3 linked regions of the Lepisosteus oculatus genome follow. The protein of the gene in region 2 interacts with the protein of the main gene of each other region in a biochemical or structural test. Links are inferred from orthologs where the notes say so. Each region holds a gene or a part of one and is shown on either strand. Other genes may lie near its edges. The genes, in order: trinucleotide repeat-containing gene 6A protein, ago2 and dicer1.

Region 1 (7,313 bases), on a different chromosome or scaffold from region 2:
GATCCTGAGTAACAAACGGTAACTAAAAAGAGAAGTTAGGTCTTGGATTGAGAATAGGAAACACTTCTTTACAGAGCTGTGCGAATCCTAGACAGACTTCTAGTTAGGTGTGGTGGCTGAAGCCCAAACTCCATCAGGAACTGCCCCTTCATGAACTGCTGTCTGGAGGAAATCTTCGCTTACGTGATTTAAAACCAAATGAGCACAATGGGGCAAACAGCCTCCTCTCGTGTGCAGCCTCTCTGACGTTCATATAATACTGGTTCCAGGATGGCAGGGAAATGCTCCCAGGTAAAACACAGGTTTCTCCACACCAGAGCATACTGCATTTCTTGATGGACAATTTAAAAGTGCAAACCCAGTTGAAGATCAATGCACACCTGCACACACCAGACTTTCCTGGTAAACAATGTGTTAATAATTCAAATCATAAAAAAAGACATTTATATGCACCTGCACAATAGTGCTGACAGATTCATACCTGTATAAGTAACTGCAATTTTAATGACAAAGACAGTATTTTTGTGAAACGCAGCTTAAGTCTTTCACCCTCCAAGCATGGTTGGTACCTGGTATTTCCTTGACAAGACCACTGCCCCACTCTTCTGTTACATCAAAACCCAGAAAACAAAAACATTTCAAACGGACAGGAGGTGGGGAGGATCTGGATTGTGACTGAAGCGCTTGTAAATGTTCTTAAATCAACAGATCCACAAGTCACAAAGTCTCATCTGCCCAGCTGAGAGCAGGCATTTGTCTCGGACCGATTCTCAGCTTCCGTGGCCAGACAGGGTTCATCAGAGCTGCCTCTGTGGTGCCAGGCTGTGAAGAGGGGAGCACCAGATCTCTGCTGCAGAGCCAAAGAGGGCTTCGTGGACAAGACTGCGAAGCCAGAGCCCTGCCTGCTGCAACGCCTTCCCTTTAACTGCGCAATGAGCTTGTGAAGGCTGAACGAGGAGCTAGCTGTTCCCCCCATATTGTTCCTACACGGTGGCTGTATAGCAAGAACCCCCCAAAACAAATGAAAACCCAGAGGCAACATGGAAATCGCAAAACGGAAACAAACAAGCGACCCTATAGAATCACTAACCCCGCTGGCGTTCAGGAGCACGAAGGGCCGCCGCAATGCCCCCCCCCCCCATCATCCTCCTTTTGGCACACTAAGAACAAAACCTATACATTGGCCCCCAATGCCAAGAAGCCCACCGCAGCAGAGAAACACAAGCATCCACACAGGCAGGCAGGCATGAACCCCTCTGCTTTCGCAAGAATTTTCTCCCACTGCTTCTTTTGTTTCAAGATATCACGAGAAGACGGCGAAATGAAAGAAATTTACGCCGGCCACGTCTGTCTAGACAAACAGCATCTCGAAACTTACCGAGACCAACACACACACACACATACACCGACACACGCACACCCTGAGAAAGCTGAGAATCCTCTCATGGCTATCCTTTCACCAATCAACAATCAGCAAGCATGACAAATAATTGTTTGCAGCTGTCATTAGCTGAAAACAAGGCAAATCTGCATATGCTTAATCTTAATTAGACAGACTTGGCACACAGCCTCGGCGACAGTACCAAACAACGTTCTCACAAAAGGGGACGAAGCTCAGACTGAGAAGGAGAAGAAGAAAAAAACGCAAAACAAAAACTCCAGCCGGCTGCAAACGAAGGGCAACAAAGGATAAAGGCAAAAAGCGCAAGGAGAGGGGGGGGGGACAACGGTTTAAAAATAAATAACGAAAGCAATGCCAGAAAAGATGCCAAGGTTTTCTTACAGCAATGTCCTTTCCACCCTCTCTGGCTCTCCCTTTGTGCACCATCCCAGCCCTCAGAGCTCCTCAGATAGCAGCCCGGGCTAGATGCAATGCCGCAACAGTGGAATTCATACAAATCAAAACCACAGGATTTTCTCTCTTTTTTTTTTTGGTACGAAACACATAATGCATCCGATACTAAATAATCAGCTCTCATTTACCTCTCAAATGAGCAGGCACTGATCGACTTCTCTGAGAAATTTCCATTCAGGACGGAGGAGGACCGAAATAATGGATGGCAAAAAAGAAAAGGGGAATGAAAAGAGGACTAAACTGTTCTGTTCGGTTTCCCACCCCCCCCCCCTTTTGTTGCGACCTGGCACTGGTTAAGCTGGTACTACTGCGATATGAATCGGGATTTATGACGTGAGGAAATAACCAACCAAAGCAACAACAAACCCCCCCCACTCTCCCAAAAAAACCTCTTCTGCTGCACAGGGAAAGAAAAACAGGTCACAGGCTCTGCAGTAAATGCTCTGCAACCTGCACGCTGCAAAGCGTGTTCGCTGCTGGCCAGACAGCCATGACGTCACACAGCCGAGCACTGCAGCCCCGCACGGTGCCATCCGCCGCTCGGCTTTCGTGACAAAAAATAACACAACAAAAGTGGAGGATGAGGAGGAGGAGGAGGAGTGAGGGGGGACAATGCCTCCCCCCCCCAACTCCCCTGCAACCCGACAGGTGGAGGTGAAGGCAAATGGCGCTGGCTGGGAGGACGGAAAGCATGCCAACCCCCTCGTCGGTCGCCCGTCGGCCCCGGGCTGTCGCGGGGCACCCTTGACAGGACGAGGAGCACACGGGACAGTTTGCGCGCAGCCCGCCGGACAAAACGCAAACAAAAAACAAAAAAGGGAGAGAGACGGAGCGTGCGAGAGAGGGGGAGAGAGAGATGAGGCTGGAACCCTGCCACCCCTCCGGCGCCCTGAGCCAGCTCTTGGACAGCCTTCAAGGACGAGCACAGACTACGCAGCATCTGTACCTACTGGCAGACTGGCATGCCTGCCTTTATTTTTCCCCTCTCCTCCCCCCACCCCAGCTCCGTTCATCTGCAGCCCTTTCAACAGTACCAGCCGCAGGACGACGAACCCCCCGAAATAAAGGCAGGCGCCCGTCCCGTAGCCCGGCGCGGCGCGGAGCGGAGCGGACGGGCGCGGATCTCTCCTTACCTGGCACGCAGCACAGAGGAATGCCAGAGCAAAGCGCGTGGCAGCAGCCTTTTGCAGACCAGCACACTCAGCACACGCAGGGAGAGAGGAACCAGACATGGCGGAAGGGGGGAGATTGGAGGCGAATTAAAATGTCGGCACACGGATTGGGGGGTAAACGTAGCTTCCGACGAGGAGGACGCCTCGGGTTTCCGAAAGGATGCCGCCCGAGGAAGCGAGCCCCCAGCCTTCACGAAAAAACGCCGCTGGTTTTCACAGGACGGGTCTCCTTTTTTGGGGGTGTTCTTTTATTTTTTTGAGAGCCACGACTGAGAAAAAAAAAATGTTATTCGAATGAGTTTATTAACACTCGAAAGTCCACGTTATTTCACGAGTCAAATCTAACACTCAGCTTAATTTTTGTTAAAACCTCCACCTTGTGCCCTTGGAAAATCTGGAAACTGGGACAGGTGACAGCCAAGAGCAGAACTTTGTTTTCGCAATGTTAATTTACTATGAATGCGCAGGAACAACGCTGCCTTCTTTTAAGTTGAACGCGCACGGCTGTTGATTCACTCAGTTTCCTTTAAGTTTAGATCACTACATTTACCACTCATATAAGGTAGGAATTTTATTTTATTTCTGGCATCACCTAGAAAATATTTTTTAAAGAATTTTGCATAAAGATATTCAAACCATACAAAATTCCAAAAGATATAATCTTTCATGGAACGACTGCAGGCTGCAAGAAAGAATAAATGAATATTATTTGGAGAAAAATGATCTATATAATGTATATCATAAAAACATAATTACTAAATTTTATGAGAAATTAGAATATTATTTAAGTTATAATATTCTGCAAACATATTAATGACATGGATGGTTCATACTATGTTTTCTTTACAATCTCAAAGAGGAAATATATACCATTATACACTACGGGGCTTTGGATAAATAGTATCTTATTCCCCAGATCTTTGGCAAAGATTTGGTCCTTTAATAACATTCAGATCATCATAGGGAGAAGTATCATTTCATTATGAACATTATGCACAGGGCTTCAATCTCTTAGAAAATACTATTACATCTATTGAGTTATGTTGTTGAGTTATTTTTAAGCAAATTAAAATAATCTTACCTCTAACGCTGAACTCACATTTCTCATAAAAAAATTCAACACAACTGGATTATTTTAAACTTTTGTGCTAATAGTGTATATTTTCCATTATATATTATATCATTGTTAATTATGGAAAAAAGGTTATCTTAAATGCTTAGAACTAGTGACGATACTATATATTTAGTACGTGTAACAATAAACTACTACATGTAACTGAAACCTGACCCAGAGTCACCTTCAGTCTCTAAAATGCTCTTCAATATCTTGACCTAAAGCACTTTTCTAGGACATCCTGCACTATTTAATGAAACCATTCAGGAACCTCAAAATCATGTAATTATGTTTTACCTTAATTCAATCTTTTGATTCCTAAATTAATTAAATGAATGCAAAAAACAAAGCTCTAAAGCAATCTAAAGCATAACACCCTTTTATAACATTGTAATGGCATGGATGTCTGACAGAAGGCACAACAGACAAGCAATAGATACTTGGACACAAGTCTTGACTTGGACACTTGGCTTGCCAAACACAGAACTTGTTCTAGTTGTACTGAGGGACAAATCGCCCATCATTCAGTCCTCCAGAGCTCGTATAAATTAGATATCCTGTGTGTTATTCAGCCAGCCACAATCTGAGTTCACTACACACAAAAATATATCCTTACACCTCAGTCAGAAAAAGGCCATTTCTTTCAGCTAAGGTTTATTGTTGATACCAATGTAGTATGCATCGTGTGAAAGATACAATATTTCTACAATTTTCACCTTACAATCATGCCCACACACAATATCGGTTTGCAAGAATAAGCACTGGTCGCCCCTGGACATGGAGTTTTATTCCATCCAAGCTTTTAATTCAATTATTGGGCAGAACTGGTCAAAATTGCTCTCTGTTCCAGGGTACTTATCCGGTTGACAATTTAGTGATACCCAGTAAAATCTTGAGAGTACGGGTTCCCACAAAGAAAGGGCTGGCCACCCACATAAAAACGTCTGCACACGTTTTGTTCCAATGGAGCTCTCAGTTACACAATCAAACCCTTTCACGAGCTTTACCAAGAATAATAAGATTAAGTTGAACTGTTTGTTCCCAGCTCTTAAACATGATCTATTTTTTAAGTGAAATAAAATCCAAACGTGGACTGCAAACATTCAAATGGATCTTAGATCATAGATCCTAGATCGTCTTAGATCAATGAAGGCTTCAGCAATCTAATGGGGGTGGGATCCACCAGTATACAGAAACAGACTTTTGTCCCTTATGTACAAGTCCATAATCATCAAGAATCCATTCCTGGCACCTCATCATTCCTCAGAAACATCGGGTGAATAAACAAAACCTTTTACTTTTCCCTGAACAGATGCAACTATAGACAAGACAGAGGACAAAGTGGAAATCCCAGTGTTCCTAGATCTCAAGTGTGCGGCAGAAAAAGAGTTACACCCGCCAGGATCTAGAAGAAAGAGCAAGGCCATGTCTGTCCCTGTCTGACGAGTTCCAGGTATCCCCCCCTCCCAGTTATAACAATCATATTTTGCTCATTACAAACAGCTGTGTTCCCACTTACAGCAGTAGAAGTGTGGGCATTCATCTGGAGTACATTTAAATACCAATTAAATCAAATAGCTCTTTTATATCAATGGCTTAAAAAAGAGCTGGCACCAACTATATCATCTTGTGATTAATTCAAGGGAATGGGCTTTTCAGTGGGGGTCGGCTTCACAGACTGTCTGGAGGAAAACACTCGCTGAACAATAGCTGGGCTACGAAGCCCTGAGTGAATAATGAACACAACTTGACATCAGTAATGGGAATTTCTAAACAAACGACACGACTGTGTAATTAAAACAGTGCCGGCATAAATTATATCAGCCCAAATGTGGCCTGGCGCTCTTTATAAAGTGCTTGAAACAACAGCCGAAAAATAATACAGGAAAAACACGCCCGACAGAGTGCGATCCACGCGTTTTGTTTGTTTTCATCGCCTTGTTCCGTGCTGACTGTCTTTTTAATCGGTGACCTCAAGATATTTCAAGGGAAGTTCTGCCACAGAGTAAATACTCCCGTCGATGTAATTTAATATGGTCTTCGACTGATCTGGTATGTGAAAGCATGCCACGAGAGCACTGAGGAAGCAGTGTGTCAGCTCTCTTTACAGCAGAGCTCCGGGCTGCGGGGTAATTCACCTCACAGAAAAGTTTGTGTTTAGCTCCACATTTCCTTCGCTCTTGACTTCTTCACTTCCTTTAAAAAATGAAGAACAAATCCAGCTTCTTAAAGATGAGACTTTTTCAACTTAATACCAAAAGAAAACGCTCAGTTCTGTTTAGATTTTAAAAAAATCGACTTTAAAAATCTACAATTACAGCTAACCAGACACTAGAGAATGCCAAACCTGCCTCTAATTGTTGTGAATAGACACACTGGCAATAATTAATCAAATTACTGGTAGAAAATACATGTGCACATTCTCACATGAGTTTTAACAGGGTTCTTTTTGAAGTATTTAAAGGGTATGCATAGAGCTGGTTCTTTTTTACATTCTTTTTGTTATAAGCCTTGAAAATATAATAAAGTTGCCTGTGCTTGTTTTTCATTATTGTGACATTTTTATACGTGCAGATCCCTGGGGTGGCCTTAGGTAAGGGAAGGGTCCGTCACAAATAAATAGAAATTTGTACAAATTGCACGTTCGTGTGCAGAGAAGACTGAAAAGAAAACAAATGTTCCCAGTAGCTGGGGTTTGCTAATACATTTGGTCAATTTGGGCAGTGGTAAGGGCTTTAGAATTGTACCCTTGAGCAAGGTAGTTCATTTGTAAGTACTACACTACCATTCCTTGCTATACAATCTTAAATAAATTTGGCTAAAAAATTAATATAACTATCTGCAGTGAGCGACGTTCATCCATTTTTTAAAAGGTCCATATGTAATTACAGCAGGGGGTGCTGCAAACAAACCGAGACCAGATAAAATCTCTTTGTTTTTTCCCCAGAGGTCACCCTTTTCTCTGGAAACTCCCTCACTCCAGACCAGCCTGTCCCAGAGAAAACATAGCGAACTAGGAGCCTTCAAGGGCCCTGTTCCGGCCTTAGTCAAAGTGCAGGAGTTATGTCAGGGAGACAAATCCAAAATGCTAATGTCACAGAGCCTGAGTTTCACACCTACAGTTCTCTGAATGCAACAGTTTACACGCAACAATCCAGAAGTAGACTGACGT
Region 2 (7,100 bases):
AACTTTGTTCTTCCCACTAAGAGCTTACGTTGGTGAACTGTCGTCACATCAGCTAGGTGGGGGCTGCACACTGGCGGTGGTGGAGGGGAGTCCCCATTACCGTAAAGCACTCTGAGTGGAGTGTCTAGAAAAGAGCTATATAAGTGTAACTGACCAAATCACATCCATATATGATTAGTAAAATATTATTGCACAAATTTACAAACTGATTATTTGAGGGTCAGGAATCAGACATACAGGATGTTAATTCTGCTGGAACAGAGCTGACAGGCCAATTTTGTACTGATCTCATCTTTTTCATCCAATCTATCACAAACAAATAGTAACAGCCGAGACAGGTTTCTCATGTCTGTAGATCAAGTGAAAAGGCAGACACTCAATTTTCCAAGAAAGTGTGCCTCCGTATCTTCCACTATCTCACAAACCTTTTTTAGAAACAGTGCCGTCCGATCCAGGATCTGACCTTTTTCCACGTGCCCACTGCCAGAAAGTCTCGAAAAAATCCCCCGAATAATAATCAAAAACTCTCCAAGTGTGTTTCCCTACCATTTGCAATCCAGAATATCTGATATAAGGCTTATAAACATTTTCACTTACTTAAATGCTACAAGTGAACTCGCCATCGAAAAGTTGAGTCACTGTTGAAAATATCAAATTAGTATTACAACCAACCTTTGTTTCCAAGGGTCTGCTTTTAAAACAAAATACAGCTTTAAACACTCCTTATACATTTCATCTGAACAATAAACTTATTTCTGAGTTTATAATACATCGTGAGTTTACAATATATAAGTTGTGGAAATCCAAATACGAATCACTATGCTCACAGACCTTCTGAGGTTTTGATCATAATGTGTTACTGCTGTTCTAGGCTGTAAAAGGGAGCAAAGCTGTACTTGTAGCTACAAAATAAGAGTGCAATGGATTGCTCTGAGCCAACTGGGCCTGGCTTTTGTGCAAGGCTTTCAGATCATACAAACTGGCCAGCAAATTCCAGGAACTTGTGCAGATACTTGACTAAGATACTCTTCTGTCAGTCAGGAACTGAGTGAACCTGAGGATAGCACATAACTCGCTCACGTCTGAATCTAGAAATCAGAGGAAACCAAGCAGCAGTTTTAAGAACGCTTAACTGAAGCATACTGAAATCCCGCCATCAGTTTAGGGTTTTTTTATCTACCCTAGACAGTTTTTTTAACATCATTCTGTACCAGGGGCGAGGCACAATCACCTTCTCATTTTGACACTCAAAATCACTCATAGCACTTACTACATATGAGCCATACCTAGTTTTCAAGAATATCAAAGCCAAATGGGAGATGTGATATCCACACCAAAATGCCATTAGAGCAGTCATCTTCTAATGAAATTTAGCCCATACTACTTTGTCATTCATATGTCTTAAAACAGAACAATTTCAATTACCACATGGATATTTGTGGTCATCACACTGAAAGACGTATGGCCTACTTCAAAAATAGCTTCATCTTTCTGCACCTACACTAGCCAAGTTATCCCTCCCTACCGTTGAGATGACAGGGACATCCCCTTTCTCCCAGATAAAGCCCCCTTCAGTCAAAGGGAAAGGGAAAATGAGGATGATTAAGGTAAACTGAAGATGCATTACTGGAATCTGCGTTCTTGATCACATATAAAGTCCCTTTGTAATACAGTACACAACGTAAAATGTCTTGTGTTGCAGTGTGTAATTACTTAAAAGGGCAAGGAGAGCCAGCGGGAAAAAAACCGATGCATTTCGGATACAAAAAAAGGAGTTTAGATTGTAGTTCTGGTCTAGTTCCAGTTTCAAAAACAGGTATGCTCTGATGCCAGGCAAACCGCAACCTGAACCGCTGTGGTTCACAGTGGAAATTAGACAGATAAACTACCATTAGCTGCGCACTTTTCACTTTAAAACCCTCAATAACAACATCACCGTAATGAACGACCCAGTTGTGTGGGAATGAAGTTAAACTCTTGCTGCCGTTAACAACACATAACACTCCACCACTGATATAAGATCTCAAGATCCACCCTACATATTCAAAAGCCACAATTGTGTCGTACAAATTCTGCATTTAATACGCGCTAGCTGACGAAAACATTGGTCTCAGAGCAGAAAAAGTCCACGATGCTGAAAGTACAGTATCGCAACCATTGTGCTGTCCAGTGTACAGAGACGTGCCTAGCAGCCTTATAGACCATATTTAGTCATTATTTTCACGTTGATAAACTCGTGAGCTTGTTCAGCGTGCGTTTCCGCAGGAGGAAGCGGGGTGCACCGGTTCCATGACTCCGAGCCGCCAGCGCCGGATGCCCCCGGGAGTTCAGCCCCGGTCCCCCCGCCTGCGCGCTCACGCCAGCTCGGGGCTTGGCGCTCAGGCCTACCGCCAACCCCGCCAGCGCGACCAGAAACCGCCGTGAGGCGCAGCTGGTGCGCCAACTCGCACGACCGCGGCGCCACTCCGGCTCACCTCGCAAGGGGCTCGTCCGAAATCGTACCACGATAACCCCCCCCTCCCCGACCTACTCTCCTCACGTTATCGGTGTCTTGGGCCTCTATCCCTCCCTTCTGCTCCCAACTCTTTCCTCCAGACTCGCTCTCCGCGTCAAGACTCGTTATCTCATTCCCCCCACGCCTGGCGATTTGCAAACACGAAGCGATTTTCAACTGGAAGCCCAACTTTCCTTACGGAACCACTAAAAGGCAAACTTAAACAAATAAACGCTCCCCCCCACCACCACCACCTCCTCCTCCGCTTTTTAAATTCCCCCATCAACACACATTCTGTAGTATTTTTTTTTTAAAAAAAGAAACTAGATGAAGTTACCGCCAGCTGCTCCTCCCGTGTACATCTTTCCGTCTCGTCCGGCTGCCGTTCACTTTCCACGTTTCAGATTTCCACCCCCCCCAAAGAAAAAATTATTCGCCGTGATTACGTTGAACAAGAGGGGCAGCCTCACTCGAGAGGATTAAAGTTGGGGGGTGAAGGGAATGAAACACAAACACGGATCCTCGCTAGTTGGGCTCCTCCGCTCCTCCCCCAGCAGCTCACCGCAGGAGAGGAGAAGGGGCCGTGACGTCACCCAGGGGGGCCGGCGCGGTGAAAGCCATGTGCTCGCCCGGGGCCCTCTGGGCGGACGCCGCCGCTGCGCGGTGTTCATAGGCTTGAAGCGATGGGCTTTTTCAGTTACCGCACCGGGAAACAACAACAACAACAACAAAAAACTGGCAAAAACGTACCTGCCTGTACAGTTTGTTTGTTTTTTAATGTGGTTCATTTACAGGCTTCGAAGGAACAAAAACTTGGCTCAGTCACAAAATACAGCCCGCTTTGACGATGATTTGTAAACCGGATACCAACCAGTTTTTTTTTTATTATTTTACTATATTTACTTTGCAGGCGCCCTAATCTAGTATGGGACAATATAAAAAATATTTCCATTTAAGTGTCGGTACCAGGAACAGTCGCGTGTAACATAAAGTAAATAAGGGCTTGAGTGTCTTTGATCTGTGATGACTTCTTTTAACATGTTACTTTTTTTTTCGTCGTAAAGTATAAACAGAGGATGGGGCTACTCTAAAATCTGAAACATAATTGCGGCGTGGTTAGCCGTTATAAAAACGGCCATTCAGAAAACACGCATCAAGACTGTCCTGTTTGCATACCAGACGCGATGTCCCGCCTCGCTCCCCTCCCTGTTAACTGCAAGCGGGAGTCCTCTGTACTTGGAGAGGGAACTTTTTCAAGCGACGCTCACGTCCTCTGCCAACCTCTGCAAGCGTGTCTTTCTGCCTGTTATCCTGTTCATCTCCCCCAGAGCCCAAGTTTAGGAAGAAAAGAACGCGTTGTTTCGACTTTAAACAGCGTTGATCATTTCCCACGTGTAATTATGAATCTGTAACTAGAACTCAAAATGCAACCGCCAAATATTATTTTATGGATTCTAGACGGTGCAGTAGGGTTGTCTGGAAAAGCAGCGTGAATTCAACTGACATGATAATTGTACTTTTCTCGGGCTCTATGCTTCCGATTAGACCCATAAAACCCGTCTGTGGCTGTAATTGACCACATGATGACGCCCATTTATTTCTGTGAAAGAAGGCAGAGTTTCGGCTTCAGCAGCATGGACGGGTAGTTTGCTCTACACTCTCACAATGTAGATTGTTTCAATAATGTAATGTTGTTTAAGTAAATGCCTCCTGTTTTCAGATTCAAATGAACTACCACATAGTATCCACTTGTGAAGTTGGCTTGACTTTGAGGTTTTGAATACTTGGATCGCTCCCTCCTGTCTTTAGTGCTCTTTGCTCAGACCTAAAAAGGTTCATGTCCTAAAACCTGTTGGTGCCAAACATTCCTTTAAGGCCCAGAATGTATCTAGTTGCTCCTCTGCAGACTGACTGGAGAGAGGTAATATTTTTCAATAGCATGCCAAACCCTATATTGGTTTTTGATTATGTTTTTTCTTTCCGAAAGTAAGATATTTGAATGGAAATTACAATTACTTAATTTCTAAAAAAAATTAGGAAATTCCCCAATTTCCCTTTGGGATAGTGTTATCTTATCTTATCTTCCTGACCAGCCCAATGATTACAAATGCAGTGAATGTTTTTTCTTTGGGATCAAATCAAAACTGTTTCTGCGGTAACCAAACTCTTTATGTGATATAACACTGTGATGGCTTTTGCAGAAGCTTTTCTATTTTAATATGTAAAATTTAATTACACTGCAAGAACAATAATAAAACTAAAAAATGGTCAGTTCCTTTGCTTTTATTTTAAATCCTTTTGCAAACACAAGCATTGAAAATGAAAGTACTTTGAAACTGCTTATAGTCTGAAATGTACCGTCTAAACTTGTCAAAACAAAAGACTACAGCATTTTCATTAAATTAATGAATCATAAATTACAAATAAGTCCTTCCAATAAAACGCTAGCTTGATCACAATTTGTTTAATACTATCTAACTGAAAAATGTTAAGAATATTGTTATATTAATGTTTTATGAACTTGGAAACATATCTTCTTAATAATGTTTATCAGAATCCAGTTTCTTGATTGCAGTAGTTGTCCTAACAATACTATATTCTCCATTACACATATTTTGTGTTTTCACAACAGAAATAATTTTCTTTAAAAAATGCAAGGGCCTCTTTGCTGACTAATTCAAGTATGTAGTTGTGTTACCATGGTAGCCTGCAAAGGAACAAGTTAAGGTTTATTTCATGCTGAAAAAAGCATACCCAAAGAAGGCTCCCCAGCTGAAACATTGTGTTCCTCTTCTTGTCTTTTCAACATGGAACAAACCTTTACCGTTTTGCTGACTTTAAATTTCGGTAACAAAAGTCTGTCCCATGTTTGTAAAACTAAAGACTTGTGTGCTTGCTAATTTCTACTCTAGGTTTATACCATCTGGTCTAACCAGAATTCCCCCTTAATTCAGCTAAGCATTTTCTTACTACCTCTGCTGTGTCTGGGAATCTCTGCGTACGACCGAGATGGGAGCTGTATTTATTGGTTGGTGAAGTGGATCGTCTCCTATGTTTAAGATATTTAAGATCTATTGTATTGAAAAGCACTATAATTAACGAATTAAGTAAGGAATTATTATTGTTATATTTTTGCTTTGCATTAGTGTGTGCCTGATTTGTGTGATAATGTCAGAGGATGTGCTCAGCAGTCTTATAATAAGGACCAAATGTTAGGACTGATGCATTGCTTTTTTCAAATCTAGTAACAGGGTTACGTACAGTAACGCATGGCCCTACAATATTCAGTAATTTCCAGAATGCAGCTGCATGCAGATATTCTACACATGAATCTGACTCAAGAGCCAGTCATATCATTGTTTCAGCCCCACATGGGAACAGTAAATTCTAGGGAAAAAAAGCAGTGTGAAGCCAGTCTTGCACAAATATGATACATGACTCATATCTGTTTTTACTCTAGATCATATTCTACTTGGCTTTTCTCAGTTAGTGTGAGCCAGCCCATCTTGGGAGGTCACTCATTTTCTACACATCAGACAGACTGCAAACACGACACTTTTCCATAAATTTAGGATGATGCAGATATTTCCATTGCTATTTTATAAACATGTTGTTTGTTTAATAACATTAAAATAACAATGATTCTAAATAGAAGGAAATATATGTTGTTTCTACATTATTTTTTTTGCCTCTGGAAAAGATACCAGAATCCTCCACTCTCAACAAAAATAAGTTTACAAGGTATAATCATATCTTAATTATATTTGCAACGTGAGAGTATGTTTTTAACATAGATAAGAACATGAAAAACAATTATTGATTGCAAAATAAATATCTAATACTTAATGGTTCACTGTTAAATCAAACCATTGTAATAGGTAAATGGTTTCTTTCTAAAATGTTAATGCAATATGTCATACCATGTTGTTAATATGCTATTGCACCTATTTCATAACTCTTACAATTGAACTATGGATAACAGCTGAACTGTTCTTTCTGATTATTCTTACTAAACCATAGAAAAGTACTCCATATGTTTCCCAAATCTCTGTTTAATAATTATTATGATGTTTAAATATATGATATACAGTATGTACATCTCACAGCTCAAGTACCTTAGAACTTTTATATCTGTCAACACAAAATCTTCACTAAATCTTGGAATGTGACATTTAGTTTTACTCTCGGTTTCACTAAGTTAAAAGAGTAGTTTGAAAGGTCACCAAATTAGTGTAAAGGTTTCTGTCTGCGTGTGATCAAAGTGTTTTAACTCGGCTTTATAGTAAAGCCATGTGTTTCTGTAAGTTCCCTCAGACCGATCTTGATTTAAACCACACAGCAACATTACAAATCAACCACAAGAGTAATGAGCTCTATCAGCTCTATGAAGCAGGGATAAAGTGGAGGGGAGTGCATACTCCCCTCCAAATGGATCAGGATACATTTGCTCATCCCTTTGAGTAATAATAACTTACACTTATGTAGCGCTTTTCTGGACACTCCACTCAAAGCACTTTACAGATTATGGGGACTCCCCTCCACCACCACGTGTGCAGCCCCACCTGGATGATGCAATGTGCACCAGTACACTCTCCACACATCAGCT
Region 3 (7,693 bases), on a different chromosome or scaffold from region 2:
CAGAGGCCACCCAAGGAGCCCGCGAGCAGGTCCTGGAGGCGTGGGGACCACCACCTGAAGGAGGGCACGACCTCATCCCAGGAGAGTGGGTGTGGATCAGGAAATTTCCTTCACAGGTTCTCCAGCCCAGATGGGATCCAGATCCTGTTGACAACCGAGTCTGCGGTTCGAGTGGAAGGAAAAGATCGCTGGATCCACGCGCCACACTGCCGACGAGCCTCATCCCCATTTACAGACTCAGAATGAAATCATTTCTGTCAATAATGATAATTGTTGCTGTAGAACTATGTTCCGCAGGGATTAATGATCATCTCTCCCACAAAGGAGAACATGGAATTAATTCCTTTTTAGGCCTCTCCTATCTGACAGCTAAGAAAACCAACCAAAGTGCCTGCTGTGTGTGTGCAGCATTACCCAAATATGTACAGGGAGGACTTCCTATGGGAGCCATTCCTTGGCGTCTCGAGGAAGTCATAGGCATGATCATTTGGAGGGATAATTTAGGAGATTTTAATATGACAAACTATGGGGGTTGCCATAACACGACTTTAACCTGCACAACATTACAGTATCTACAGGAGCGAGGCTTAGAGCCCACGAGTTTCACAGGCTCTTACGCTCCTAAATATAACAGAAGCCATACACCACCATACCTGACTCTAAATAAGGAACGTGAGGGAAACATATGTTTTCAGCACACTAATGGTCTGCACTTGGTTGGATGGAGTCGTTGCAACCTTACCATCGCTGCAAATATATCCACCTCTACCTTCCAAATTCCAGGATGGGATCGGCACACCCCACAATTCGGTATAAGTTTCTTATTTTCAGAGGCATGGGGAGCGCCAAACGGAACATATTTCATTTGTGGAAAACGAGCCTACCCATGGTTGCCAGCCCAGTGGTCTGGCTCATGTTATTTAGGATATGTGGTTCCTCATATCCGTGTTCAAACCCACACCCCCTTCGGACCTAACCACAGACCACAAAGAAAATTGGCTGATTGGGAATATTATTTAGGTATAATATTTCCACAAGCCGGCATGAACTTTCTGAGTCGAGAGTTAATTCAAATGGCTTCGACTTTAGAAGAATTAGCAAATTCTACCTCATCTAGTCTGAAGGCTGTTAATGATGAGATGGTAGCCCTCAGAACAGTGGCCATGCAGAACCGACTAGCTTTAGATTATGTACTGGCGGCCCAAGGAGGAACTTGTGCAGTAATTGGCACTGAATGCTGCACATATATCCCTGATAATTCTGAGCACATCTCAGATCTGGCCCAACACATTTACAATGAGGGACAGAAATATCAGGACTATTATACTGAAAATTGGGGAATTGGGTTTTGGGTAAAGTCTGTGTTTGGGGCCTGGGGTGGAACCTTTTTATAGTGTTTATCTGTAGGAGTAGTATTGTTTATATGTATAATTGTAATCATCACGTGCACAAAAACATGTATCACATCTTGCCATAACCGTGGAATGTACAATGTCATGGCAATACATACCTGTTCGCCAAGAAAGGAAAGATCTGCCCTGACATTGTATGTATAAAAATAGGCTACACTGACGTATGCCATATTTTATAAGGGGGGAATGAAGAAAGATGTGAAGACGGGGGTTTGAATTTAATCTTTTCTGTAGGGGGTTTAGACTTCCAAGTCACAAGCAGGGGTTTATGGCAGGAAAGGGGGTTAACTGATAAGGATTGCAGATGCCAGCTAGGAACCCCCCTGGGTGTAATGTTAAACTGACCATTTGCCCAGAACATCGTAAACTGGCCAAATACCATGAACCCCCCTCTTTACCATCATACCGAGTGACGTCAGAAACGGAGAAGAAAACACTATATAACCCAAAAGTTTGTAACAGTACGTTGAACAATACTTCGGTTTTGTTGTTTCTTGCGGGAAACAAGACTTCGGCTTTATTGTTCCTTGCATGCAATAAACTCATCTGTTTCACTTCATCTCGGGATCAAGAACCTTATTTCTTCTGTTACAACAAAACCCATAGCTTAAAAATTAATCATTCGGGTAACAGTAAAAAATCTACCATTTTATACAGTTTAATTAGAACTCATTCGTATGAAAATTTAGTTTTTTTCAGATTACTTGTAAAGCACTATATTGAAACCTTTTAACATCCTTTAACAAAAGAAATACAATTAATACATGATCCATTATAAAACCTTTAAAGTTCTGTAGTTCCATTCTCATTAATATAAATTGTACAAAAACAATTTTAAAGCCTGACTATTTTTTAAATATTACCAATGTAATTATACGTAAATAAGTGCATTTTTAGATCTTTAAATATCCCAAGAATTCTGAAATCAAGAATTTATAAACCTTATGACGAAAGAAACAATAAAAATAGAAATGAATACAGTATTCATTCTATATATTTACATTTTATGTAAAATTATTTGCGACACAAAAAGTTCCATTATTTTCTTCATGTTTGGCAAAAAAGCAATTATAAATTAAACACTCTCTCACACTAAAACTTGCTTGCCTAATTTAAAATGCAAAAGAATGCACAGACCAAGACTGTATTTACTTTGTAAGCAAAGCAAAAGAAGAGGCCCAGCCTTTCTCCACTCTAAATACTGTACTGTATCTTTGGCAGTTTCTGTCTATAGAAAATGTAAGCAGCACAAGTATAGGAACACAGAGACTGATGTGGAGTCCATGGACTAATGCTTTAAAGTGGCACAAGGTGACATAACACCTTGCATATTTCAAAACTGAAACTACTGCTGCAATATCCACTGGTGAAAAAAACTGTACCATCCTTCCACTTAGAATGACTGGCTCTTTTACAAGCAATAATAATTATTTATAAACTACAGAACACTGTAATAAAAGACTTTCTAAAGGCAGTAAACCGTGTGCAGCGCTGTTACTGTACCATCTAGTGACTCCTTGCAGTCTAGTGTCCTTTCAGATTCCAGTTGGGCTACGAAGTCAGTAATAAGTTATAAAGTAAAAATAAAACAAAAATGCATATGTACAAACATGAGTAGATTAACATTCTGTGCTCTTGATTGTCCTCTGTCGATTGTGACCTTCCGTGAAGCCTGTAACATGTAACAGAGCTCCTCATTTCTTCAGTGCAAGGAGAGCATGTGGCAGAGCTTCAAGGTCCAGCTGGGGGATGAGAAAAAGGCAATAGAGGAGGATCCACAGGAAGAGCAGCAGCTGCATGCAGTCCTCCGAAGAGCTGACAGGCGTCTCTGGCGAGCTCTCTGAACCGCTGTACTCCTCTCTGCAAGATAAGAGAGCTGCCATTCAGGCAATGTCCAGGGGTTCATTCACCCTGTGATGAAGGAGGTGATGAGCCTCTGACTCAAGCATGGTGATTGCAACACCATGAGGCAGTGCAGACCTCTGTATCTGAGATCCTCCAGCAGCACAGTGAGAACTTTAACTTACAAGTGGTTGTCATGGGAAAAAACGAAAGTAGACAACACCTGGTAATATCTAATTTGATGAGTGTACAATATTAACACACACAGAAAGCTTGTGGAACAGAACAAAAGGCTCACTGAATGTGAGCACAAGGTGAGTAACGATGATTTCTTCAGGCTCTAAGAGCTACTTCCAGATCCAGGACACCTGTAAGTGTACGAGTCACATTTTTCAATACAGAATTGCAGAATTCACTTACCGAGTTAAGAGTACTGGATTTGTTGAGACTCTCTGAACTGTTAATACCACAGAGCCTATTGTGTCATTCTGTATTCATTCTGACCTGCTACATGACACTGCGTGCTGCTGGAAGACTGTCTTTCTGTGCTCCCACTACAAGGGGCACAACCAGCCTCTTAGGCTTCCTTGGTGAACCCTGTGCTCTCTATCTTTGCCTTAATCCTTAACTGTGACTGACTCGACCTATCTAGCCTCTACTGTTGGAAAAAGATACAGATAAACTGTTCATCTTCTTACTATATCCTTCAAGGTCCAATTTGTTTTGTACTCCAAACAAATTCCATGCATGACCAAGCCTAAACCATTATATTGTGAATGTGTAAAGCGCTCTGTGACAAACTATTGCAAAGGCAATTAAAGCAAATAAAAGATTGACTGATTAATTAATACAGCAGCCATTTTGCACTTCCGGATCTGAACATTAAGGTGGCATCTAGATAAGTTAATAATTTAAAGTAAGATGAAATATTTAATAAAATGTATAAATTATGTGAAAAGCCTTAAAATAATCATAAATCAATCAATAATCACAATGTAATTGTAATATTTGTCTAATGATTTTTAGTATTTGTTTCAGCAACAGTCTACAACAGGCGGAGTGGTGGCACTTTTGCTAAAGATCTATGCCAGTGGCTGGAAGGTGGCTGGTTCAAATCCTGTGGCCGACAGAGGAACTCTTCTCCGTTAGGCCCCTGAGCAAGGCCCTTTACCCCAACTGCTCCAGGGGCTGTACAATGTACAATGGCTGACCCTGCGCTCTGACCCCAAGCTTCTCTCCCTGTCTGTGTGTCTGTGTCTCATGGAGAGCAACCTGGGGTATGCGAGAAGATGAATTCCTAATGCAAGACAATTGTATGTGGCTAATAAAGTGAGGTGATGTGATACAGTATACAATGATAAATGTGGGCAGAATTACAGTACAATGTTTAGGCGTCTTCATATAAAATACCTGGTATCAGAACTAACTGTCTGAATTGTCTCACACCCTTTCGCCTTGATCTTCATGCTTGTCTCCTGTTAAGATAAAAAAAAACACCTGTTCATTTCCTTTGCATGCTTCGTGTTAAATGGAGACAACTTGGCACAGATGTGTTGAGTTTTTCCAAGTCTGAAACTGTAGAGGTAGATAAAACAACTGCAATATGTTCTAGATTTAATCTCCACACAAGCCAATGAAATGGTGAACCTTTCTAAAAAACTAATTTCTACATGCATCTCTACATTCAGCTAATGGAGAAGTAAAATCTTCCAAAAAAGTTAAAGGTTTCTTTATCACACATTGCTTAAATTGCACATTATAGGGAGATATTTTAAAATGACTGAATTCTTTCTTTAAGGCTGGGTTTCTTATTAACTTACCTTAATGTCCTCACTGTCATCAAGCTTCCTCAGGTATAGCATGTGAGAAAGGTGGCTTTCTCTCAGTGAATCATCACACGGTGCCGCTGTGCTGCTCAGAGAGAATAAATGTATTTAATGTTTTCCACCACTTTACTGAACTACTCTTTCATTTTTACTGAAGGGGGAAATGGGAGCAAATGCTGCTTTTGACAAAAGGCTAAAAAAAGTATCCTGTTGACTGTGACTGATTCCGGTAAAAACCCTGACATGAATATCAACAGACCGCAGCAGCTGTCACACCGCATGAGCCAAAGGCGCAGAGCAGTAGAGTAACACCTGCTGGTGTGTCCAGCATGCACACTCCTTCCTTTTGACTAGGATACTGCAGATTAAGGCCATGAGCTCGTGTGGCACAGACCAAATTTTCAGTTCCAAGTAGGCCATTAAGTTCAAAGTATCTTAATAACTAAATGTCATTTTAAGGCACAGCTAATATAATTAAATATTACCTTATCTTTATATTCATCAATCACCAGTGAGACAACATTTCTTATTTATACCATGTAGGAGAATATTATGTGTTACATCAGATAACTGTGGTACCTCGGTAAGTCTGTGCTTTCTCCAGCAGCAGTATGTCCTTTTGTGGCAGTAATAAATTCACAGCTGATCTCAGACACATCTGATTCTACATCTTCTAAATCCCAGAAGTCCTCTTTCTGTTGCTCCTTCTTATCACAATCCACACCTCCTGGCATTTTATTCTCAATCTGTTCTCCTGCATCCTGGCCATGAATAAAGAGAGAGCAATCACAGCCTGCAAGGACTCAGCCAGAGGGGAAGGACATTAAGTTAAGTAAAGAAGGGAAACAGCACAGGTGTCACACAGGCTACATAATCGAACTGACATACCTCAACACTGAAGCTTCAGGAACATCAGTTTAAATTTACAATGCATGTTGTGATGAATTATTAGCTACCAAAAAGTTTTACCACCACTTTCAGTACATTTCAGCAGTAAAAAAGGTTGGTTGGTGATAGTCAGGAATTCATACAGTATTATTAAATAAATAGTACAACCCTTCTAGTTTTATAATAGCCTGCTTAAAATAATACAACTTCCATATAATACCACTCTTGTTCCCCACTAAAGGAAAGATACATATGAATGAAAATGTGTAAAAATTCAAAGATACATTTAAAAATATTTAACTTTACTAAGTAAACTAAGGCATCTGTTACTCATTTATTACAATACATTCATCCTTTGAATATTCCCCTAAATAAGTGAGCTTAACAGGTAGCCGATTAATAATAAATCATTTTTGAATAAAAAGTCAGACAAATCTTTAAAACAAGATGCAGCACATTAACAACATGTAATCTTATTCCCTATTTCAATAATAATAATAAATACTTAATTCCAAATCTCTGCATACCTGATACTGACTGGAGCCTTGGCTTTGCTCTGCAAGACAATCTCTGATGGAGTCTGACAGCCTGTCTGTGGACACTTCCCCGTCAGTACTGACCACATACTCGTAGTGGTCCTCTGTCCCCCTGTCTTGCTGTGCAGACATGGACCCATGACAAGACCTTTCTGTGACTCTGTTAAGGTGCTCCAGATCAGCATGAAGTTCTGTTTCTAGCATGTCTGGGTGATTCCCTGTGCAGGCTTCTGTGTTTCTATGGTGATCGGACTGTGCTGGAGCACTGTCAGAACCTAAAGATGGACCAGATAGAAGCTGCTTTCTTTCAGTGACCGGCTTTGAAAATGCTCCAGAAACATTTGATACGGCTTCTTCATAGCAAGGGTAGTACACCATGTCCACAGGTAAAATACTATTTTGTCTAGCATTATATACCACACTTCCATTCATTTCACCAGGTTCATTAATGCAAAGCAGCTGGGTGGTGCATTGAGTTTCAGGTCTGGTGCATGCATCTAGTTTCAGCCCTTCCTGATTCCTTTCTTTGTCCTGCTCTGAAGGGACAGTATTCCCACACAAGTCAGCACTGGACGAAGCCATAAATGAGGGGACTATCTCCTCTAAACTGTGATGCAACAGGCAATTCTGCTTAAGCGCAGTCTCCAGTCTGTCCTGGGCTTCACTGGGTGTGCTAATCTCCTCTTGACCACTACAGCACTCTGACTGACTTGCATTTTCAGCATCATTCAAATCCAAGATGTATCTGTATGCATCTTCTTCCTCAGACAGAAGCTTGGATTTCATGTGAAAGCTATCCACAGAACTTTGTGAGAAAGTGCCTTCATCGATAAAAAGGTCAGAAAAAATGTTGTCTTCTGCAGCATTGTCTTCTAGTGGAGTTTCCGTGCCCTGGATATAATCTTTCTTTACAGTTTTTATTGATTTCTCAGGGGAGCACTTGCCATTGGGATCAAAAGGAGGATCGCTTTCATTGAGGCAGCTGCTGCTTCTGCTGTCGGAAGACTGTCCTTCTCCATCCAGCGGCATGGACTCACTCGCAATCTCACTCAGCGAGTCCGGAGAGTCAAGCACTGAGTCCACGAAGGAGGGTTGCGGGGAGCTCGAGCTGGACACTAGGAAGGACATCTCAGAGCACAGCTCCAGGGGCAGTTTTCCATTCCCGGCAGATACTGCGGAGCTGGAGGTG

What was found.
Region 1: the proteins of ago2 (region 2) and trinucleotide repeat-containing gene 6A protein form a complex in vitro, tested with the Homo sapiens proteins (2 studies listed by BioGRID). The link is inferred for Lepisosteus oculatus from reciprocal best matches to the Homo sapiens genes AGO2 and TNRC6A.
Region 3: the proteins of ago2 (region 2) and dicer1 form a complex in vitro, tested with the Homo sapiens proteins (2 studies listed by BioGRID and IntAct). The link is inferred for Lepisosteus oculatus from reciprocal best matches to the Homo sapiens genes AGO2 and DICER1.

The regions. Positions count from the first base shown.
Region 1 is NC_090714.1:11,923,261-11,930,573, reverse strand, and holds the start of trinucleotide repeat-containing gene 6A protein, read right to left. Parts: upstream 3,088-7,313; coding exon 2,989-3,087; intron 1-2,988.
Region 2 is NC_090705.1:34,006,868-34,013,967, reverse strand, and holds the start of ago2 (protein argonaute-2), read right to left. Parts: upstream 3,062-7,100; 5' UTR 2,857-3,061; coding exon 2,832-2,856; intron 163-2,831; exon of another isoform or gene 1-162.
Region 3 is NC_090703.1:556,578-564,270, reverse strand, and holds the start of dicer1 (endoribonuclease Dicer), read right to left. Parts: upstream 3,107-7,693; 5' UTR 3,023-3,106; intron 1-3,022. Other genes in the region: clmna (calmin), read right to left, coding at 3,107-3,272, 4,665-4,729, 5,075-5,165, 5,660-5,841, 6,496-7,693. UniProt on the Homo sapiens protein: Double-stranded RNA (dsRNA) endoribonuclease playing a central role in short dsRNA-mediated post-transcriptional gene silencing.